2 linked regions of the Schizosaccharomyces pombe genome follow. The gene in region 1 interacts genetically with each later gene. Each region holds a gene or a part of one and is shown on either strand. Other genes may lie near its edges. The genes, in order: SPOM_SPCC306.11 and gid5.

Region 1 (12,129 bases):
TATTTTAAATTCTATTTCTAGATAAGTAGGTTGTCATTTAATCCAAGCTGATTTTTATAAAGTCCTGTATGTATTATCGTCATGGCAAAAAAGGTACATCAAGCTGATATTTGGAGGTTAAAATCAATTGATTTTGACCTCCAGAATACATTGCTTATGTGTTCTCCTTTTTAATTAGCTAAATTTTCCAGTAATACAAAGTACAAAGTCTTGTGTTATCCGCAAAAATTTTTAATTAATCATTTTTATACCATTGGTGTCACAAAAATCCCGATTATTTTAGAGTTAGACTGTCGTTTATGTTTTTTGAGAAAGAATTAAAACAACTTATCTAGTCTAGTGTTTAAAAGAATTTTATACTGTTTCATTAAGAATAATGAAGATATCCCTTTCCAAAGGCAAAAGAAAAGTCGATAACTATATAATGCAAGCTTCTAAACAAACTTGAATTAGTGATTGCAACATTTCTTTTGCCAACAATATTTAAATCCTTCATTGCTTGACACATGGTTTTATGAGAAAAATTAAGAAAGAACATTAAGTACTTCAAATAAATTTGTTGAAGGATCCAAAATTCTCCAAATAGACTTTTTTTATATGAAGATACCATTCATTCAGCTTTGACTCGCATGCGAGCTCTCTGGACAATAAACGATCAAGCCAGCGAGGTATACTGTAACCATAATATCACGAATAGTACAATAAACTTTTTTTTAAAAAAATCTAAATGTACTAACCAGAGAAGCATAAAAGAGCTCTTATAGTTCCATAAAGGATACGTTTTATCCACATAGCACTCTCTTAAAATTAAATGCTGGAATGTCGTTTTGGATAGATTATGCAATTGTGCAATAGTAATTCCTTAACAACTGATAGTTTTTGTTCAATTTATCATTCTGTTTTATTCATCCTGGATACCTTTAACTCCATGTCAGTATTTTCTGTTGTACGGCCACGAGAGTACGGATTTTTGAATTGGTTTCAATGTTAGGATCAATTACTAACGTTCCATTTCTTAGTTTAAGAGACGCATACTTCATTCACATCTTCTAATCCTGACTGTTCTAGATAAGAAGTCATCTTAATTCGCTACGTTAACAACATTATACATTAACTACACACATATTGCCAAATTTTAGTAATTCATAACAAGAGTGTTTTCCAGTAAAGGAGTTGGATCTTGAAATGTACCACTAAAATAGATGATTTTGAAATAAAAATGGAATGGATGGAATTATGAAAAACGACTTGTTATGGTTCGGCAACCACGTTTTCGACCTTACGCCAAATTCATTTGATTCTGATTTTGTCGAGCAGCTTTCGAAATTTGAGGGAAAAGAAGGATTGAAGAGGAAGTTATTTGACTCCTCGGAATACTTTCAAAACTTTTCATTTCAAGTAAACGATGATCTGTTGGGAAAAGATGTCATTCTCGATATTTCAAATCAACAACTAACACCCGCTGTGCCTGGGTGTGAGACATCATCCAATTCCAAACTCATAAGCGCATCTAAGGAAATTACTTCAGAAAGAAAAAGAGCTAAATCCTCAGTGTCCCCCTCTTATCTTACAGATTCATCACCCAGCGATTTATCTGTCGAAAACAAAGTTCTGCTAACATGCCCTAGCTGGGATGGAGAAAATTTTAAAAATTTAGAAGCTAGATCTCCATTCATATCTGAAGCGCCTTCTCGGGTATATGATTATTTTCTTCATAATCAGGATTGGAGTCCGAAACCATTATTTTCTGCACTGCAAGTTTACCCTTTAGCAACTATTTTCAATTGCGTGGCTGGTTTACCACAAGGATTTGAAAGCACAGTGTTTCCATGGAACAAAACCTCAAGCACATTTGAACTCGATCCGACCATCTCCGTTTCAGGAATGTCCGATGAATGTTTTGCTAGTATCGTCCAGAAATTTTCTGCAATTGGGGGTTTAATAAAAAAAGCTTTAAATGAATTCTCTTTATACAAGACCAACATTTCTTTTTATTTATCAAATTTCATTGTGAATGGTGTCTTGCAGTATCGAAAGGAGTTTCAGCGTTGGCTTCGTCTTTATGAGTTCCGTAGATTCGGTCTGATTGGTTTAAGTAACTTTGTTAATTCTTTTTCTTCATTCTTTGAGTTAATTTCACACTTCTTAATAAAATCGGCTCAAAACCTAAAAGGAGATTCCTTGTTAGATTTTCTTTTTGATTATGCGCGTTCATGTCAGAATACCATATCTTACCCCATTGCCCTACAGTGCTTGATATATTGCTCAAATCCCTACTTCAAAAGGCTTGAGCTTGCTTTAAAAGTTTCTTGTGCGTATGGTCACATTGATTCTTCATTGTTCTTATCACTTCCCCGTTTTTTTCCTTCTGAACTTTGTGTAAGCATTGAACAGTGTATTCAATTTTTGTCATTAATAAGGGAACAAAAAGAAATATTTAATAAAAACAACAAAGAATTTATTAACCCTTTGAACATTCGGTTCGCATATTCTTTCAACGACATAAATCAAGCTTGTGTAATAGAGGAGCGCTGCAACTTTTCTTCGCTTTCTTTTGGTAATTTGGAACAAACTTCCGTCAATAATGACAGTGAAGAATTTGAAACGCTGCTTGCTAAAATGAACATGACTCCAGATTTCAACGATAATTTATTACAACTTAAATTTACAGATGATGTGCGCAACGTCTGTCCGCTTAACTTGAATGTTTGCTGCTGTATTGCTGAGCCAATACAATCTTTTATTCTCAGTTTCTTACGTTCGACATATAAAGTTTTAAAAAACGATTTTCAGGTGTTTGATCTTTTAAATTTTTTTCATTCCACTTTTCTTTTTCAAAATTATGAATTCTCTGATAATGTCATTTCTCTGTTAAAATCAAGAAGGCTTGATAAATCTGACCGTAATGAGTTGGCTGAGGACTTGAACTCTGATGACAGATATAATTTTATTTCTCGATTGAAAAAATTCATTTTTATGGAAAAAGAAAAAAATGGGTTGAGCAGGTCTTTATCTAAGAGTATAACTTTTACATTGGATTCTGCGAGCGTTAGTGAATTTGAGGATGTGTACCCTGATTTACAATTCCAATGCCAAGTAATAGGTGCTTTACGGATATTATTTACTGATAACTCTTTAAATTATTATTCGAAAACTTTTTCTTACGTTTTACATCTCTTTCAAGCTCAATCAGACTTTGAATCATCTGTCGAATTGAAAGATCGTTCTATAGTAACAAAAACAACTATTATGTCATGGTCTAAGTATCAAGGCACGAAAGAATCTCTTTTTCAGTTTCTTTCAATATACATTCCAGAGTGTATGTTGCCTTTTACGAAATTACTGAAATCCATATATTCTCCTGACTGTCCTACGAACATACAAAATTCTGCAATTAAAAATGCGGCTTCAGTTCACGAGCAGTGCACTAAAGCAATTTATCAAAAGGTCAAAGAGTTGTTTGATACCATGAAACTCTGGGAGTCATCCATCAAAGTGTCATAACAAAAAACCAGATCCGGATGACGGATTTTTACGAGTGTAAACATGCTAATCTCACCTTTAAGTTTGAAGAATATACGATTTTACAGCAGAAAAAAATTTATAAGCACAACACTTACAGAAAATTCCTTGCATAAAATGATAAAGAATGTAAAGAAGTATTTGGATAAATTCATGAGTAAAGTATTTACTAGAGATATATCTTAATCTAAGTTTAAACAACCTGTGCCAAACAAAAGGAAATTAATTTAACAAAGAAAGGGATGAAGAATTAAAAGGAATCAAAATAGAAATGAACAGTCAAGCTTATGATTGATTGTTTGAAGATCAAACATATCAAGGTAAAGTGCCATGATCACAGGAAAATACGCAATGTAGTTTAGTAAGTTATTTTGGTGCAAAAATATATGCGCTTTAATGGTGGAACATACCAGTATGTCCCACTTAATTTGCTCGTTCAAAAAATGCATGCAAAAAAAAAAAAAAAGATACAAATCTGTAAATACCTCACGCAAATATAAGAGTGCAAATAAAGACATGTTGAGAAAAGAGTAGAGGCAAAAGCCAAAAGATAAAAATCTTACTGGACGCCTATCACTTTGGTGAAGTTGAGGGTAAACGGACAAGGAATGCATGAAAAAGGAAGGAGGTAAGTGATAATTTAATGTTAGCAAGGAAGACATGCAAGTAAGGAACAAGTGCCCATGTTCCTTATTTTAGATTTTTTTTAAAGAAAAAGGGAATCTATGCGAAATCCTTTACCACAAGAAGGCATTGTCACGGTAGTTAAAGACACTGGTAATGTTTGGATTTATTTTGGAAGTAGTGTTAACAATAACATGGTCATCGGCAACAGGGATACGACTGTCGTTGGTATATACACAAATACCTTGACCTTTATAGCCAATATTACGGCAAGTAGCACCACCAAATGGAGTGCGCAAAGCAGAGTTACAATTAACGGGGTATTGGGTGCCATTGAAGCAAGTGTTAACCAAGTAAGGGTAATCCGTATTACACAAAGTCATGTTGCAAGACCAATCCATTGAGGAATCACGAGTGAATAAGATGGGTTGATCAACAATGTTGGTATAGCTTAAAGATATACCGGAAGAACGCTTGCTGTGAGTGCTCGTACTTCCCGAACTAACGGAAGTGGTCACGTTGATAACATTTGCATTGTCAAAGTTGGAAGAATTAGCGCTAGTGGAGTAGTTGGAGGATCCGATCTGACAAAGACCGCGAGTTAGTCCGTAGGAAGAATTGGTTTCAACACATGCGGAACCACGACCCTTGGGATAACCAAGCACAGTAGGGCAGTTCAAGAGAACAGTGCTATGATTAGCGCAAATGGCAATTACATCGGGTGAAACACAAAGGTTGGAGCCACTTACATGGCAATATGTACCTTCCGAAATATTATAATAGGAGGTAGAAGCTATAGCAGAACTCAAGTCAGGAAATGTGTCAGTTGCACGCTTATATAAAGAAATCTCACGCCTTTTACAAGCAGGAGCACCTGGTATGCCACAAAGCTTGATGGACGAGACATAGGAGAACGAGCAAAGGAAAAAGATGGCCGAAATCGCAAAAGAGGCAAATGCAAACATTTTTTTTATAAAATTAAAATGTGAGAGTACGTAAAGTAATTTTTGGAGACGATAATTTTGAGAACGGAAAATGCAATTGAAAATAGGGGGAAATAATGGAACGAAAGGGATATCAGATGAATAGAAAATGTAAGGACGATAAGAATATATGGAATAAAAATGTAGAGACGATGAAGTCTTTTTGGATCGATTAAAAAGGAGGAAAGATGAACAATGATAATAAACTCAACTACTTCAAGGAGCTTTGTCAAACTGAAGCACCCAAACACTGGGACGACGTTTTACAAAGTAACTTAAGAGAAGGAAGACAAACGATGTAAACAAAAGATGTTTTCAAGTGGAAAACAGCCAAAATGCAAAGACCAGATTTTATAGCAAACCGCAATGGGGAAGCAGATCGATGTTTATATATACGAGTTTAGCCTCGTTCGTTAGACGATCCTGACATCATTTGTTTACAGTGGCAAGCTGGAGAAGCAGCCAATCAGCGTTGAGAATGTTCATCGCAACCAGCCTGCGTCACCGTGTAAATAAACAAACTCGGAGGGCAACCAGCCTAATGTCAACAAAACAATTCAGATGGCTGGCAATATGTTCAAAGGTGGCCGGATTGAACTGAATATAGCAAATGTAGAAAAGAAACATCATGAAAACATGATAAAGTATCTCAATATTATTATTATTCAGTCTCACTAGTTAGTTGGGCATTATGGACAAAGAGCTTTGATCATCGCAACTCACTCCAATTAACAAGTGTAAGTGAATAGTCGCGATACAAGTGCATCGATTCAAATCCATTCATTCAGCTGCTCATCAAAACAAAAGGCGGGACAATTGTGATGTGGTGTTAAAATTCTTGAGGATGTATGTGAATATGGCATACTAACTACCTGCCCCCTAGATATTCAGCTACACTCTCTTCATGAATGTTTGGAAGTGAGGCTGGCGCCGCAATTAAACTAACTACAATTTCTTTCTTCATAGATTAGGATAGTAAAAGACTTGGAACTATATTTATATATTAAATATTTATTATTTATTAATTTTTGAAAGGATAATGTGTGAGCAACATAGTTGTTTTCGAATAGCAGGAATTTCAAATTACCCATATAGAAGACATCCAGTATTGAAAAAGGTAGAAACAAAAAATGAGTTGGAAATCAATTAATACATCAACTATGGTTAAGTATTTGGTTTAACGGACGCTGTAAAATTTTGCCTTTCAGAGGATATATTTCAACTAGTAGGGGAAAAAAGAAGTTCCTTGCTTCAGTAAATTTATAAAATCCACTGGAGCTTTTTTACAAACAAATTTTCATTATCTACAATTGAAACTGCAATTTGGAAAGATTGCACGTAAAAAAAAAAAGGAAAGAACATGCAAGAGTTTCAATTGTAACACCCTTCTGCAATAATCGGCCAATGTTGTCGATAAGATATAAAGGCTTTAAACAACCAACCACTGTATGTTACAACCTTGTGCATTTTGTTTCTTATCTTAATAACCTTCCAGATGTAAACATTCGCATTCATCCACCTAAATTGAATCCTAACGCTAACTAATTTATTAATATCCCCAGGCAAAAAAAGTGGATCATTAACAAGAATAGGAAACATCAGGAAAAGCTGATAATATGATCTAAAATCAGTTTGCTCAAATATTTGATCCAAATCATAAATGCAATATGAAAGAGCACGGCGAGTTTTTTTATTGCAATAGTTAAATGTAACAACCAGTAAGCAAACTCTTTTTTTTGAATAATAAAACCATTATTGTAAACTTCATAAATCGCTTTCATAATGTATGTTAACCAACATCGCGAATCATTTCAAGCGATGCATTGGTTTGACAATTTATAGTAATTGGAAGAATGAGTTAAGCATATATTCCATAAACTTATAGTGAAAGAGGATGATTAAAGAAAGTTGGTGCTAATTTTTTAAAAAACGCCGCAGCTTCTCTGCATTGGTGATTTTGGTAAAGAGGTTTTCCAACTGTAGCGACAACTACATTAATAAAGCAATTAGACTTCGCTTTCGGCCTCCGTTTCTTCCAAGGGAATGTCATTATTATCGTTGGCACCTCCAATCGCATTTGCTATACCTCCTAGTCGGGTAAGTAAAAAATCATTCATACAGTTGGTTGAATACACATACCTAGGAAAGAAGCTATACCATTCCTGATAAATTTGGGCATCCTTTTGAGAGCACCTGGACATTCTGATACGGTTAGAATAAATTACAGGAATATTGAACAAACCCATTTCGTAAAAGAAAAGAAAATTGCCTATAACAAAGAGTGAAGTGGCTTCAATTTCGTAGCCTGTCCCGTCGATATGTTTATCAAATGAATGCATCAAACCTTTCTGTACAATAACGACACAACTTTGTACACCCAGCATTTGAAACAAACCAAAAAGCATATGCTTGAGTGTCCAAAATGGAAGACGAACTGCGTGTTAGCGGTCAGTAATGGTAACTCCATAACTTCACATACCATATAGTAAAAATAAAAGTAAAGCAGCTGAAATACTGCATGTAGAACAGATGAGAGCCTTGTATAAGTTCAGGTTACCGAATTTGGCGCGAAGAAAAAGTGTATAGCAAATGACTACCCATAATAGCCAAATTATTACTACCCATTTTTCCCTTGAGTTGTACAAGCCGACCGCAGTTACCTTTACACATTGTGCCAAGAAATTTACAGTTACTTTAACTGCCTTGGCCCTTTTCATAGAAGTCTAATGAGTTAGTGACTGAAGGTAAGATTAACCCCATTGTCTCACTTACAAGTCAAGAATATTAAAGCCAAAGTGCAAACAAGACACCAAAATCCAAATAACGTCCATTCCGCTGCACCATAATTTTTAAAGAAAGCGTCTTTATACTTTAGATAACAAACTGCTAGAGCATTGAGTAGAACGATTGGAGTGAATGATATTAGTAGTTTAATCAAAAAAGGGGAAGAATCATCTGTCGTCCCGGAAGAATGGTTTTCTCTATGTATGTTAGGAGGATTGCTTACACGTGCGTAATCTGTTTAAATTAATATGATTGAAATACTTTAGTAAAGAAAGTGCATGTATCAAAGTGTGTGCATGCATGGCCGACTATAAACAATGATCACATCCAAGTTATTTTACAGCAATGGCAAGTTTCAACTTTCAATTGAGTAATTCCTTTCTTATTATTTACAATTCTTACCTGAATATGGAGGTAATGCGCCCTCTTCCTCTGAATTATATTCTGGAAGCAGGCCTTTTTCCAAATCGATTTCATGATCTGTCTTCAATTCATCTTCTTCATCTAGAGGACTTTTCAAGGAAGTGTAATTATTCTTCATTTCATCAAGATAATTCTTTATTTAATAAAACACATGCGCGAATTAATTGCTGTGATTGCGACAAACGAAACAGCGAAATCAAGAATATTCACTCTGGAGTTCAGTTCCCGCCGCTCAACATAAATAAATGAGCAATACTCGTTTCAAAGCAAACTGTTTTTTCAATAATAGCAAGTGAAAAGTAGAATTCCAAAACTCATTTTCAAAATGCAATTGCTTCTGACACATTTATTTTGTCACTGCCCTTTTTATTCACCCCAACTTAGCTTTCCTTAAACGTTATAGGGTTCAAGACATTAACGCAGTACAGCAAAATTACAAATGCGTGTGTACCGCCTTATTTGCCAGCAGCCATTTAAATTAATAAATAAAAGTATGATTAATGTAAAATGACTTAGTAAAATCAATTTACTCCTAAATTATAAATCAACATAATTTTCAACGTTGTTTTGCTAGGTCTTATTTGCCAATACTGTACAGGCAATGTTATTATAGTCGTTTAAATAACTGCATTCCTTCACTTTCATCGTAAACAAATTCTTTTTAAAAAATTGAGGCATTAACATTTCAACAATGAGACTATACTTAGAGTAAGCATAGGGATATGTAGGAAAAGGATTGAACTTCGTCAAAAGTTTAGCGACTGTAAACAGCACGTCAAAAATTAAAAGCTCAGCAACGGCATCGCTGCTTCTCTTTTCCAATCTTTTAACTCAGAAAGCGTATATAGTTTCGATTGCACAACAGACGAAGCTGCCAGATTAAAAACCTTACCTCGATAATCTCTGGACTCATCTCAGCAGAGGTTCGGTGCATTTAATAATTACATTTTTTTTGGCTAAAGTAAGGTGCAGCGCGAATATGGAATTATTTTTTTATGTTAAGTATTTATGTTTGTTCACAGCCAAGACACGATCATTGCCAGTAGCTCTTCTAGCTTCAAAAGAGGGAAATAGTTATCGTTTTTTCAATTTTTTATATAATAAAAACGCTAGTTTATACTACAGCTGAAAAGGTTAAGTCGCTTTTTTCGATACCGAGTTTCATATTGCTTAAGCCGGCTCTATGTTCCTTCGTCCTCCATCCACCACCACACTTACTATATTTGTTGCGTTGCATTATAAAAATCACTTAACCTCCGCTAAACACATTTTCTTTTCGTCTAACCATGTCGGATATGATCAATATACGTGAAACAGGCTACAATTTTACCACGATTCTCAAACGGTATGTAATTGCATTAAACTGCTAAAAGAGTAATAGTCTTTAATTGATTATGCATCTAACATTTACTCATATAGACTGGAAGCGGCAACTTCTCGTTTGGAGGATCTTGTGGAAAGTGGTCATAAGCCTCTTCCCAACATGCATCGTCCTTCTAGAGATTCAAACAGTCAAACCCACAACATATCCTTCAACATTGGTACTCCAACGGCCCCAACCGTGTCGACTGGTAGTCCTGCTGTCGCATCATTACATGATCAAGTTGCGGCTGCTATCAGTCCTCGGAACAGAAGTCTTACATCCACCTCTGCCGTTGAAGCGGTTCCTGCTTCCATTTCCGCCTACGATGAATTTTGTTCCAAGTATTTATCTAAATACATGGAATTGAGTAAAAAAATTGGTGGTTTGATTGCCGAACAAAGTGAACACGTCGAGAAGGCTTTTAACCTTTTACGTCAGGTTTTGAGCGTCGCTTTGAAAGCCCAGAAACCCGACATGGATTCCCCGGAACTCTTGGAATTCCTCAAGCCTATCCAATCTGAACTGCTCACTATTACCAATATTCGAGATGAACACCGCACCGCCCCCGAGTTCAATCAACTTTCTACCGTCATGAGTGGAATTAGTATTTTGGGCTGGGTCACAGTTGAGCCCACTCCATTATCCTTTATGTCTGAAATGAAAGATTCGTCCCAATTCTACGCCAACCGTGTAATGAAAGAGTTTAAAGGTAAAGATGACTTGCAAATCGAATGGGTTCGTTCTTACCTTACTCTGTTGACTGAATTGATTACATACGTCAAGACCCACTTCAAAACCGGTCTCACCTGGTCTACTAAACAGGATGCAGTACCCTTGAAAACGGCTTTGGCAAACTTGTCTGCTTCGAAAACTCAGGCACCATCTTCTGGCGATTCTGCAAACGGCGGCTTGCCTCCACCACCACCACCACCTCCTCCATCTAATGATTTTTGGAAGGATAGCAACGAGCCCGCACCTGCTGATAATAAAGGTGATATGGGAGCGGTGTTTGCCGAAATTAATAAAGGCGAGGGAATTACATCCGGACTTCGTAAGGTGGATAAGAGTGAAATGACCCACAAAAATCCGAATTTACGTAAAACGGGACCCACTCCTGGTCCTAAGCCTAAAATCAAAAGCTCTGCTCCTTCTAAGCCAGCGGAAACTGCTCCCGTTAAACCACCTCGCATTGAGTTGGAAAATACTAAGTGGTTTGTTGAAAACCAAGTCGACAATCACAGTATAGTCTTGGATTCTGTGGAGCTCAACCACTCAGTGCAAATTTTCGGTTGCTCCAATTGCACAATTATAATTAAAGGAAAGTTAAACACCGTTTCCATGAGCAACTGTAAACGTACTAGCGTTGTAGTAGATACTTTAGTGGCCGCTTTTGATATTGCTAAGTGTTCCAATTTTGGCTGCCAAGTTATGAATCACGTTCCAATGATTGTTATCGACCAATGCGATGGAGGTTCCATCTATTTGAGCAAATCTTCGTTGTCGTCCGAAGTTGTCACTAGTAAATCAACAAGCTTGAACATCAACGTCCCCAACGAAGAGGGAGATTATGCTGAACGTGCTGTTCCCGAGCAGATCAAGCACAAGGTGAATGAAAAGGGAGAGCTTGTCTCTGAGATTGTACGTCACGAATAAGTTTTTCTCAGAGAGCTTTTTCAAGCTATATTCCTAACGGTTTCATAGTAAAGATTTAAGTTGATTTGTCTAGAGCTTTTTATTCATCTTCATCTTTTTCTTTTACTGCTACTAACGACACACTTTGCTCGATGTTTTGTAAAATTGATCAATCAAATCTTCGGCTTATTTCAGAGATACAAATATTTGTTTTCCCTTCGCTTTCGACTTTCCGATGCGATTTACCTTTTGCCCAAATATCCCTTGGACTCAATGTGTACTTCCCCACATACATCTTTATATTGAATGGGATCGGATAATGCGCGGGAAAAGTTGTTGTCCGTACCACGAATTGCTACGTTGACTTTATGATATATGCGTGCATGCATACATACGAATAGTGGTTATTTTACGAGTTAAACGATATAGAAGCTTAAATTTAGTGATTGTTTGTGTGCAAATAGAATTTATGGATGACAATGATAAGGCTGTTGTATATGACGCTTCCTCATTTCTTTTTCCCTGTTGATTTTAACTCGAAAGGATTTTAAGTGTCTTCCGTTCGCCAATTGAATTCATCATCATCTTCTTTTTGTTTTTGTTTTTCAGTCTAAACAAATCCTCTAGCTAAGGTATCATTTTCTCGATTGCTGTTTTGCTCATGTTATGTTTTTATGAAAAAAAGCCATGCTGTTCAATAAAAGAGGAAAGGAAGATTTTGGAAGTTTTATAGTTGAATGAGTTCATCTATAAATATATACATATATACATATATATAATATACAAAATATTTTTTCT
Region 2 (13,208 bases), on another chromosome or scaffold:
TTATCATTTGTGACATCGACGAGAGTAAACATGTCTTCACTAACGCTTCGTATCCGTACCTGCGAGGCAGGAAAAGGAAGATATTTTGGATGAGGCCGATAACTCTCTTCAACCATTTCTAAATTTGCTTCGCAAATGTCTTGAATTTGATTTCCAAAAAACTTTTCGTCGCTCCTTATGTTAATGGGAAGCTCATATGCAGCACACTGAAGATGACTCGCTAGTAATACCTCATTTGTCAAGTCTAAAGTGAGTTCAGCATTTGGTTGAGTGTGAATCAAAATAGGATGCTTTAAATAAAACTGATCAACGGGAAATGTCTCAACTATATATACTGCTAAGGAAGACTTATTCCTTCTACCAGCACGACCAAATTGCTGGCGCAAGTTAGACAAAGAATATGGAAATCCTATGGTTATAACGGCATCCAGTGATCCTATATCAATACCTAGCTCTAAAGCATTCGTCGCAATAATCCCATATAATTTCCCGTTAAACATTTCACTCTCTATCTTCCTGCGTTCCTGAACCGTATACCCAGCCCTATACGATTGAATCTTAGATAAAAGATCTCCTTTTTGTTTGGTTTTTAATTCCTGCCTCACTAGTCTCATTAACGACTCACAGGTTTTTCGAACACGACAGAAAACAATTGTACGCACCCGCTTTTCGGCAAATTTAATAAGCAGTTTCGAGGCTTCAGAGATTGCGCTTTTCTTTCCATCATCAGGATGCTTGGGGTCGACATAAGGTGGATTCCACATTACAAATTTTTTTGAACCAGAAGGAGAAGAAGTATAGTTAATTAGTTTTATATTATCTACTCCAAAAATTTTTTTCATATGTTGTAAAGGATCCTCAATAGTAGCCGAGCATGATACAAATCGATATTGACTATTTCCAAAGTACTCAGCAATACGGCGCATCCTTCTTAGAACAAAAGCAACGTGAACGCCAAATATTCCATTGTACACATGAGCTTCATCCAGGACGAAAAGTTTCAGGTTTTTAAAGAAATAATACCAACGATTAGCATTGGGAAGAATCGTTTGATGTAACATATCCGGATTCGTAAAGATTATATTTGCAGATCTAATAATACTTTCTCTAGACTCAAGTGGTGTATCCCCATCGAAGGTGTCCACTCGAATATTCTTAAGCGTCGGCATATAGCTAAGTATATCGATTAACGACTTCTTCTGATCTTGGGCTAAAGATTTAGTAGGGAATACAAAAAATGCCGTAGATTGATTATCTTCTAACAAACTTTGTAAAATTGGAATTTGGTAAATCAAAGACTTTCCACTAGATGTAGAAGTTGACACTATAACATGAAATCCGTTCCAAAGGTGGTTGATAGCGTCTGCCTGATGTTTGTATGTCTTTTCGATGTTTCTAGATGTATAAAGAGCATTTATAAGCTCTTGAGACAAAGGTCGAGACAACGCTCCATATTGTGCTTCAACAGCAGGATAAGTATGTAAAGCTTCTTGGACTATTTGCCCTTCGTAAGAAGATTCAGAAGCTATTTCATTTAAAAGTTCTTCAATTGAGCACGCTTTAGTATTTAAATTGCAGTTTTCTATTGAATCATTAGGAATACTCGGTGAATCAGGAGGAACCGGCTGGTTTTTCCGGGATTGAGTTAATAGCTGTTGCGTTGGGTCAAGTTCTGTCAATTGACATTTTTTTATATATTCTTTAATCCCTTGAAGGAACTTTTGGTTTCGTAACTCTATGGCTTTCTTCAAATTATTAAAATCCAGCTTTTGCCTCTGGATATTAGCCTTCATTGTTGGGCCTTCACGTCTCCTTCGTTTGGAACTTCTCTCTTGCGTTTCTAAAAGCTCAATAACCAAAACATATTCAGAACTCTGTGAGACCGTTGAACCAGTGTACAACTCAGGGTTTAGATCAGTGTAAACATTTTTATTGATTTCTAATGCAAGGCTAGCAAGTGATTTATAATTTAATTCAATTATTTGAGGACATATTTCTCTTAGCTGAGATAAATCGCCGATTGTCAACTCCTTTTTCAAACTTTGCTTAACACTCGAATTGAGAAGGGGAAAAGTGATTGTAAGAGAATTTCTCAAATAAAGAAAAGTGTATGTAGTATTAATTACCTTGAATAAATTAAAAAGATTGTCAAATATGGATGGAATAGGCTGATTAGCTTGAATAGTTCCAAGTTGTGGTTTTTTTTTGGGATTATCTGCTTTCAGAGGGAGCTTCCCTTCATTAATATATTTTTTAAATTCAAATTTATCATCCTGATCATTAGATTCTTCCTTTTTAATAGGAGTTTGAGACATTACCCCTTCACCATTAAAGTATGGGCTAAGTGCAAAGGTATTGAAATACAATGATTTCCATTATAACGTGGTAAATGAACAATTAGTGAAGGATCACTTATATAATTATTTAGTATCAGTTTTTAAATTTTTAATTTCTTCATCCTCTTTTAACTCTATAGGTAGCTTATAAAACTTTGTTCCCTTGATAGAATCGGGTAAATACTGAGTAGGTTAACAAATTGAAAAGAATATTTTTTATTACCTCTTGCATTACTAATCCGTCTTTATAATCCGGATTGTATTTATATCCTTTATGGTATCCTAATTGCTTCATCAAATTTGTAGGAGCATTTCGAATATGCATGGGAATTTCAGCCCTGCCAGCATCGGGATGAGAAGACAAAAAACTTTTTACAGCATTATATGATCTGTAAACGTCAACTGATTTTGGAGCTAATGCTAAGGCGACGGCGCAATGAGCTAGAATTACATCGGCTTCAGGCATGCCAACTTGTTGAACAGCAGTAAATGTACTGGATGCTAGAGGTAGCATAGAATTATCTGCTATTCCAATGTCTTCGCTTGCTATTCTAACCATTCTTCGTGCCACATACAGTGGATCTTCTCCAGACTCGAGCATTCTACCCAGATAGTATAAAGTTGCATCGACATCAGAACCCCTTACTGATTTATGGAAGGCAGAAATTGTATCATAATGAACATCACCTACTCTGTCGTAAAGTGCAGAAGATCTGACTAGCTTGTCCTTAATATCTTCGAGTGACAGGGGTCCTTGTCTTAGCATTCCAATAGACATTTCTAAAGCATTTAAGGCCATTCTAGCATCTCCGTCTGTAATAGCAGATATGTAATCAATAATAGATGTTTCAACGTTGGGCATAGAAGATCCTAGTCGCTCACTTTCCAGTAAGCAAGCATGGTTTAATATTTTCTTAACATTATCACGCGTTAGTTTCTTAAGCACAAAAACGGGGCATCTGCTAATGAGAGCAGAATTTAGTCGGAAAGAAGGATTTCTACAATGTTAATCATGGTGGAAAACATTAGTGTTTAAACATACTCAGTTGTTGCGCCGATCCTAATTCAAAGGTTAGCATTTGTGATATTAGAATGCATCACTTACAGAGTAACTAGACCCTTTTCAACCATTGGCACTAGTCATGGTTAATTGAAGAGATAAAAAAATATCAAACTTACAAAATATATCCTGTTGCGCACGGTTGAAACGATGTACTTCGTCCAAGAAAATAATAGTCTTTCTTCCTGTCAAGGTGAGATAATTTTGTGAGTCTTCAAAGATTTTACGACAATCAGCAACAGTCGTCGAAGTCGCAGAAATTTCTATGAACCTTGATTTTGTTGTAACGGCAATTAGTCTAGCAAGCGTAGTCTTTCCAGTTCCAGCACTACCCCATAAAATCATGGAATTGCACCTATCTTGTTCAATCAGATTACGAATGATGCCTCGCTCACCAACCAGCTCTTCCTGACCAACATATTCATCTAGTGATTTGGGTCTTGCTCGTTCCGCCAGTGGTCGTGTATCCCGTCTTGTAAGTTTAGTTTTCTTTGTAGGGCTGGGTTCAGGCTCTATAAATTTTGTAGCGCTCTGGTGAGATGAGACATTTGTTTCTAAATGATGTTTATAGCGTTCCTTTTTAAAAAAGGGTGAAACAGGTTTCGAAGGGCCTGATGAGTCCGAATAATGTGAATCAAGGTGTGGATTAATGTCATTCATCGTAACTGTTTTCGCGCAAACAGGACATTGAACATGATCTGGTCCTGACATTCTGATTTACATAGATAAAAGTATGTGGTACGAAAGGTAAACAGATAAATCTGGAATGAAACAATAACACATACAAATGAGCGACCTTTGGCAAGAAAGTTTACAAAAAAAAGTAACGTTTAAGGAATTTTGATCATCAAAATTGCTTGTTGTTTATGACACTCTCAACAGCAATATAACAGAGCTGAACGGCATCGATTGTACAAAACCGTGAACCAAGTCGTCGCGTGTAGTTAGGGAATTATACGATGAAGTAAGAGGTTATAATAATATCAAAGTATTTGTTTAAGCTAAAAATATTACTTACAAGAAAAAGTTAGATTTTAAATTCATATGTGTTATTATAGTTGACAGTTTTTATACGCAATTTCACCGCCTAAATGATAAGATATTAAAAAAAAAACAATAGAAATGATGAGTCTATGGAAGATAATAAAATGTCTAAAAACCAAAATGATGTTGATCCAAGACTTGTAAACTACGCGTTTTAAACCCTCAAATTTTGTACTCTATTATATGAAATACTCTGTTTTTAAACCAAGGGGAAAGGATGCAATTTCAACTGTGAAAGTCCATAATATTTATAAGAAATCGAACCTTATAAACTTACCTAACACTAAACATAGTAATCGCACGGCTAATAAGAAGACTATTGTGCAAACTAAAGGGCTTTAAATAGATAAAAAAAAATAGAGTATAACGGGCACTCAGCATATAATTCAAAATTTTTCCTCCAACTACTAATGCTGCTTGAACATTGAACCCAAAGCAAATTGACAAATAATAGAAATAACAACAATATTAGAGAGTTCATAAAAAATTCTCTTTGAACTCTAAATAATATACACGTTAGTTCCGTACTCACGAAATTACTATTAGAAAAATTGTGCGAAGCGATCCTAGAGCACTAACGACGAAGAGGAACATGAGAGCGGAGGTTTTGCAGATACGATGGCATTATGATGCTAATGATGATCACACACCTATTTATTCAGTTGATTTTCAAAAGAACAGTCTTAATAAATTTGCTACATGTGGAGGAGACAGTAAAATCAGGGTAATGATTTGACATAAAACTATTTTTGCTTCAACTATTGTTTGTTGTAGTTTAAAAAAAAGAAAGAAAATTCCTTCAATTATACTAATATCCAGATATGGCAATTGATCACTTCGGAATCATCCACAAAAGTCGAATATTTGTCTACGTTAAGTCGACACACGCAAGCAGTGAACGTCGTTCGTTTCAATCCAGAAGGTATTCGCTAATAATTTTTTCCAATGCTCACATTAAAATAGGAAATATTCTTGCTACCGCCGGAGATGAAGGAACTATTATGTTATGGGTTCCAACTAACACTCCTATAACAACTTTGGCTGATGATGCGGAAGAGTTGGCTCTAGCTAAAGAATATTGGAAGGTCAAAATAGTTTGTAGGTCGATGGGTTCAGAAATATATGATTTATGCTGGTCGGTTGACAGTAATTTTCTTATTGCCGGCGCCATGGATAATAGTCTTCGGTTGTACGATGCTCACACAGGTATGAATTGGCAGTTGTTGTTATTGGCAATATTTTTTTTTAAATTAAAATTACTGACTAAGAAGGGCAACTGCTTACTCAAAAATTCGACCATTCACATTACGTTCAAGGGGTATGTTGGGATCCTTTGAATCAATACATCGTTTCGGAAAGTAGTGATCGTTCTATATGTTTATACGAAATTCAAGAGGAAAAAAAGAATCCGAAAAAATTCCAACTCGTTTTAAAATCGCGCATCTGTCGTATTGAGTATAATGTAACTAAATTCGAATTAATATCTGTTACGAAGCCCTTAAATAATGATGAATCATCGGGGATATCAGAACCTATCGAAACTTCTAATAATAATGAGTCTCCCGTATCTAAGCACGAAGCTCTCTCATCAACTGCAAACATAGTCAAAGATGGAAGCTTAGAGCGAACAGAGCCTCCAAATTCTCTCAATTCAAAAATCAGTTACTCTTTGTACTGCAATGAAACTCTTGTTTCTTTTTTTCGTCGTCCAGCATTCTCCCCTGACGGATTACTACTAGTTACGCCTGCTGGTCGGCTTCGACCGCACGGTCAACCAAACTTTGAAGTTCCCTATACTGCTTATATTTATACAAGAGGGAGTATAACCAAACAGCCAGTAGCTTGTCTTAATGGATTCAAAAAACCAGTTATTGCGGTTCGTTTTTCTCCAATTCATTATGAATTGAACTCATTCTCTAACTTCTCTTTTACTTCTGTCTCTTTTAATCTTCCTTATCGAATGGTATTTGCTGTGGCATGTCAAGATGCTGTTTATATTTATGATACGCAAACTTGCAAACCATTTTATCGTGCAGTAAATTTACATTACTCTAACCTTACAGACATAGCTTGGAATGATGATGGAAATGTTTTGTTAATGACTTCTATAGATGGTTTTTGTTCTGTAATTACCTTTGAACCTGGAGAATTGGGTGTCAAAAGTCAACACAAAATTTCTTTGCCGGAGAAACGATCAGCTTCACCCTCTAGTATTGATGATTCACAAGACAATACGGCTGGGGGACCAGCTACTACAACACTAATTCCCAGAAAAGTTGAATCTTCAAAAGTATCAAAGAAGCGTATTGCACCTACCCCCGTTTATCCATAATTTCATGTTTATGAAAAAAGTTCTACTTCGACAATACGCTTTGATTTTTGGAGTAAAAATCTCGTACTTCTTGTTTTGTACTAGTAACTTTAAAGAACCTTTTATTTTTTTAAAAAAAAAAAAGAAGGCAAAACTGTACATTCTACTTTGGATGTAATCATTCGGTAATTTGCTTAGATATAAGCACAATTAAATTCATTACAATTGTTAAGATAAATATATAAAAAGCAAATAATACTTCTAATCGTTTGTACTTTTTGTCTACTTAAGACTATAAAACTAATATGTAACTTTTCTGTAAGTATAAAATACGTATTGAGGAACCCTCTTACACATAACATCACCACCATTCTATAGGAATTGCATCTTATACATTACTCATTGCATAGATTAAATTGCTAATAATCTACTTTTATTAAAAAAAGATTTAATCAGCTCATTTTCACGCTAGTTTTCCAAATTTACTGAAGTCTCATATTTTTTGCAAATATCTTCAAGTTTTGTTCATGAATGGTCGCCATTAACGACTCTACGGATTCTTCGTTTTTTAAAGAAAATCCTAAAATATTTAAGGATGAGCATGAGTTGTTGAGGTATATCGTTCCTTTCAAAAATTGGGTAATTGGAAGACCCGACAGAAAAGAATATGCAATTCGCAATGGAGCTCCAAAGCTGTTGCTTAATTTATTTTCCTTAGAAAATTTATCCATGAATGAAAAATATCAAGTTTTTGTTGTTTTAAACTCCTTGATGAGTGAGGACCAGGACCCTTTCGTTCAATTTTTACGACACGAGGATCTTCTTTCCGTTATGCAAATGATTTCGAAAAGGGATAGTACACCATATGGAATGCTGAATATCACCCTTAAAGTTTTTAACACAATGCTGAGTTTTGACAAAGCAGCAGAATATGTCACTCAGTTACATTCGGACTCTATAATTAATCAAATGTTTGACTTGTATACTTTACCCTTGAAAGAACAACCTTCTCTTGATGTGTTGCGTATCTCAAATTTATCTTCTAAGATTTTGCATCGTCTTATCCTTTATAACTCTAAAGTTGGAGACTCTCCACGATTCTGTTCTGCTTTATTTCAAATCACTAACAGAGCTACCCAATTGCGCTTGTATTCCAGAAGAAGATTTTGGAATGATTGCTCTATCTTAATTACTAACTCCCTGGGTACTTTGAATGCTTATTTAAAACAGCATGTGAAGTCTTATAAACAAAGAGAGAAAACCCGGCTAGAATCAAATGGTCACGTTTCGCCTCGCGATATGGATTTAGATGAAATTGAAAATGTTTTTGAGGGAAACAAGGATAAGGTCGCCTTATTTAAATCAGAGATATTTGGGCCTAATGGTGATGAATATATTACTCAGTTATTCTGTCTCGTTAGACAGTTTGATCCTTGTATTCGCTTGCTCTCAATTTCTTGTTTAGTGACCCTATACAAGGCAGGCATCCTTTCTAAAAATCAAACTAAGGAGATTCAAATGATAGTAACTCCCATTCTCATCCGTTTATTTTTTGAATCTCGAGAAGCAAAACAAATCGCTCCTCGTATTCTCGCCATCATAATCAATGAAAACGAAATTATGCAAAAGACGGCTGTAAATGCAGGTTTTATTGATGCTGCCAAATATCTTCTAGAATACGCAACTAAAGAAGAAGAGAATGAAATTAATTTTTTATCCGATGAATTGCAATCCAGCGTTTGTTTTAATCTTCCTGCTACCAAAAAGGAGCAAAAAAACCTAATCTTAGAATCAGTTTTGCTAGCCGTTGCTGCATTAACAACTTCTAAAGATGAATACAGAAAACTAATAGTTGATGCTAAATATTTGCCTGTTATCATTAATGCTTTGAAAATCAATTCTAACAGCGTGAAAAAGGCTGCTTGTGAATGCTTATTAAGTCTCTCGAGAAGCGTTTACATTTTACGTACGGGCCTTGCCGATGCAGACGTGAGCGAACCATTAATAAAGTTGCTTTCTGACCCGGATACTAGAGTCAAATCGACTGCTACGTCTGCCATTTGTAACTTGGTACTTAAGTTTTCTCCTTTGAGAGAGAAATTCCTTACTACAAATTTCATTGATACTTTGATATCAAATATTAGTACGAAAGATAGCAGTCTAAGAAAGAAGACCGTGTGGGTTCTGCGGCATGTTGTATTTGGTGATGATGAGACGATCCAGCTTGAACCTTTAAAAAAGATCGGTGCTTCAAAGCTTGTGGAACTTTGCAATGACGAAGATCTGGGGGTCCAAGAGCAAATGTTGCAAGTGCTGCGAAATTTTACATGTCAGAAAGAAGAAAGCGTGGATTTTCTTTTGAAAATGGTTCCTATGGAGTTGTTAGCAAAAATTTTGCTTGAAAAATTAGAAAGTAAAAATCCTATCCTAATTGAACCCAGTATTTACATTTTGGTGCACATCGCTGCCAGCGATGGTGAGCTTAGGGATTCTATCCTAAGGCAAACCAAACTACTACTATTGGTGAAGGAAATTATGCTACAAGAAGCACAACGTCTCAAGCCCGAGCAAATGTCCACAAATGTGTCATCTCCGGAAAGTGACAGTGAAATGGATTTGCAAGAAGATGATTTTGATAGGGAAATGCGTCCTCCTTTCGATATTTATGAAGAGGACACTTATGAACCAAACTCCGAAATTCTGTTGGCCGGAATTTGGCTCTGTATTAACATTCTATGGCCCAAACAATGTACATCTCCAAGCCAGGAAGATAAGGAAAGAGCAAGTATCTTACAAAATCTCGGATTTGGAGAATGTTTGCAGATGCTACAAAATCACTCATCTCCTGATGTAAGGGAACGTGTCAAAGATGCCTTGATGTACATCAATGTAACCGATTAATTTCTATTACGCTTTTCCGTTGTCTTTGCCGACTTGATTGGAACAGTCTAACAAATCGGAGCCATTTTCGCATTTAGTATTTCTGTATGTATAAATGTGTGCACAACTCTTGCAGCTGAAGTTAACAGGTTGTTGGATTGAAGTACTTTGAGAATGATCGTATATAAAAAGATTTAATGATTTATCAAAACGAATAAAATAAGTATTATGAACATTCAACTTATATGTATGCGGGATAGTGTAAAAACCTATTTAACATTGTAAAAATTTTTTAAGGAAAGTTGTACTTTGACAAGAACAATTTCATTTACATGTATTCTACTAAATTTATCAGAATGTTGGGAATTTTTTTGTTGGTATATAATGCCGAAAGGAAATTAATCGAATATGAAGAAAGTGGCGGAACTAAAAAACAAAACCCACAAACTAATTATTTAAATAAATATAACATAATAACTTGTTAAAATAAGAGTAATACTAGAGAATGTGTGCTCAAGTGGAAAGCATGTAATACTTGCACAACGTGATGGAAGAGATTAGTGTAGTAGCGCAGCGACAGCTTCCAACAACCAACTAATCGAGGAGGAAAGCAAAAGTGAGAATTGAAAAGAAGTAGTACATTAAAGACCTTTAAATTCTTTGAAAGAATTGCCTTTATAAAGGTAGTCTATTGCATTTCAAAGTACTCTCAAGATGAATTTAGAATTTTCTTTTGGAAATTTGATCGCCAAAAATACCGAGAATTCGACTAAGGAAGAAGGAACTTGGGAAGTAAACAAGCTCATGAAATTTAGTTCAGAGGAGGGGAGGTCTTCCTCTGATGATTATATGTTTTCCTCTCCCGATTTTGAAAAAGCCGGAAACGGCGATGCAGAAATGCGTGAATTTTTTAACTTCGATGGATTGCCGGATCAAGGTCTAAATTTGCCTAGTATAGCTCCTCCGTCTTTATCCCATGCCAGTTCACCTAACTTATCGAATTCACAAGATGAAGCGGAATGTTTACCGTCTGATCGTCAGCAAGACTACATCAATCCTAGTTTGCATTTGAACAGAACGGTGTTTCCTACTCCGCAACATTCTATTTCTGATGCTAATTTTCTAGCTAATACCGTTGATCAACCTTTGGGAGATAATCCCATGTTTGGAGAGTCGGATGTTTATCTTTTAAAAATGGATCCTATGAAACAAGCACCTTATGAAGCTGGATTTAATTCTGTAAAGTCATCGGGCGCCATCGAAGATCCATTACAGTTTAGACAGCCGATTACCATGTTGGAAACTCCCTTCAACGAATCTATTAATACTCTTACGCCATATGCCGAAGATTATGCATTTTCCTCTTTAAATACGTCTGCACCGCCTCTTTCTAATAAGGAGTACGCGTTCTCAGTTAATCATTTACCAGCTATCAATGAGCACAAATGGAAATCTCGGGTGGAAACTAACATGCTTTTTGAGTTGCGGATCAAGAGCAACGATAATCAAAGTGTTCCGTTTGAATATCTTCGCTTGCCAAGTTGGGCTCACCGTGAAGACAAAAAGCGTTCTTCGAAACCTCAGCCTTTGCAACCCGATCCGGAGACCGTCATTCATCTTGTACCTACCGTTCTTGCAGGTGACAAAAGCTCAGTTGTTAAGACTTGCTGTACTCGCTGTTTACTTCGAGAAAGGAAGCGCAATGCTCGATCTCAAGCAACAAAGGATGCTTGTATGCCTAACTATACTAAACTGAAGGCTTATGAGCGTAACATGACTGATGCCTCTCCCGAAGAAAAGCAGCAGTTCAGGATCAAGCTCTTAAATCAATTTCCCAAACTTGAAGACATAGATGAAGATAGAATGATAATGGTTTTTACTGGACCTGAGTACGTTCGTTTGCAATTGGATGGAAATGAAAGAGTTGCTCACATCAATGCACGGATTACATGTTACTCGTCTCATCAATCATGCCCTTACTTTCACATCATATGGGACTTATACTCCATGTCACGTTTGGTGGATCGTCTTGTTTTTCCAGAGCCTGTTACCGTTCTTGATGATCATAAAAGTAGAAATCTTACGAAATCAGAAAAGACTGGTAAGAGCAATTCTCAACAAGCTCCTTCAAACCATGTTCTTTCTAAAAGCAATACTGTCCCCAATCTTGTCACTGGTTTCCCTACCCGTTCAGATAATCCACCAAATGAAAAGCGTCGTCGAACATCCTCGAGTGAAAATTCTAGAGCACTCGACATACAACTATCTGCTAGTGACTCGCATTCACCTAATTCGAAAAGCACTTTGAAAAGTGTTGAGGGCTCAGCCTTTAGTATGAGCAAATCCCCTTCTGTGCTGAGTATGACTACCCCAAGCGGCGTAAGTCCTTCCATTTCAAAGAATGGTTTCCATGTTGTTCGAGTTCCCAGCGATGCCGCTGGTTTCCAACAAAGACAACAGCAAGAGGAAGGAGTGCTTGAAGCCCATACAAATGAAAGTGCCCCAATAGCCCCATTCCCTTACTGTACAGATGATTTCTCGTTTTCCGTTGAAGAAAAAAGTAGTGTCAACAACTTGCTTACACAATTTGATGAGGTTGCTAAACCTGATTTTGTAAGTACGCCGATAAAAGAAAATGTTGATTCTTCTTTTATAAACATGACTCCACCTGATGTTTCACATGCTCCCTTAATATCTCGGATTATTCCTAATAAGGGTTCAATCATGGGAGGTTATGAAGTTACAATTCTTGGCGCGAACTTTTTTAATGGATTAGTCTGTTTATTTGGTGACAACCCAGCTGCTGTAACTTTTTCGTGGAGTGAGTCAACGATTATAGCGACTTGTCCTCCTGCAACTAATGCTGGAACCGTTCCTGTAACCTTTCAGAACTATAATTCATCTTCTGAAGCGCCAGTAATGTTTACTTATGAAGATAATTTAGATAATGAACTTTACAAATTAACTGTTCAAGTTTTAGGCTTAAAACTTACTGGATCTATTCAAAACCCATTAACGTTATCCAAAAAATTGTTGAGTTCATGGCGCGACGATTTTGCTCAATATATAACAAATTCTATTAAGCAGCCTCCTAACAGTGAATCTAAAGGTCAGTCTAAAAAAACCTTATTGCATGATAGCAATATGGAATCGCTTAAATCGGTTATTTCGCGGATTGTGAAAAAAGACAGTAATCAGTCTGATGACAGTGTTGAAAGTACTATCCTCGCAGCATTTGCTCTTGTTACAGATACAACGACACCATACCTTTCTGATTTTAGTCTTGTTAACGAATCTGGTAGGTCACTTCTCCACCTTACTGCTGCCTGTGGATTGTCTAATGCTTCGACGTTCTTATGCAACGCAGGATGCGATGTTAACAAAAGGGACGCACTTGGCTATACACCACTGCATTATGCTTCATTGTATGATCATAAAGACATATGTGTTAATTTACTTTCCAACGGTGCCAAGCCTGATGTTATAGGAGCTAGCGGTAAAAAACCGATAGACCTCTCCTCTTCTGAGCCTATAAAACTGGTCTTTAAGGAAGCAAATAATGAACAAGCCCAAAGTA

What was found.
Region 2: mutations in SPOM_SPCC306.11 (region 1) and gid5 together harm fitness more than expected from each alone (negative genetic interaction), as found in Schizosaccharomyces pombe (one large-scale study listed by BioGRID).

What each region holds. Positions count from the first base shown.
Region 1 is NC_003421.2:423,770-435,898, reverse strand, and holds SPOM_SPCC306.11 (uncharacterized protein), read right to left. Parts: upstream 5,485-12,129; 5' UTR 5,112-5,484; coding exon 4,260-5,111; 3' UTR 3,629-4,259; downstream 1-3,628. Other genes in the region: gamma tubulin complex GCP6 subunit Alp16, read left to right, coding at 1,225-3,504; adenylyl cyclase-associated protein Cap1, read left to right, coding at 9,623-9,681, 9,756-11,352.
Region 2 is NC_003424.3:4,114,867-4,128,074, forward strand, and holds gid5 (protein Gid5), read left to right. Parts: upstream 1-7,106; 5' UTR 7,107-7,282; coding exon 7,283-9,652; 3' UTR 9,653-9,871; downstream 9,872-13,208. Other genes in the region: RecQ type DNA helicase Hrq1, read right to left, coding at 1-2,315; mgs1 (DNA replication ATPase), read right to left, coding at 2,421-2,519, 2,560-3,334, 3,379-3,396, 3,442-3,472, 3,516-4,107; CAF assembly factor complex subunit B Pcf2, read left to right, coding at 5,033-5,164, 5,260-5,362, 5,404-5,646, 5,712-6,772; mga2 (IPT/TIG ankyrin repeat-containing transcription regulator), read left to right, coding at 10,346-13,208. UniProt on the Schizosaccharomyces pombe protein: Component of the GID E3 ligase complex recruiting N termini and catalyzing ubiquitination of proteins targeted for degradation.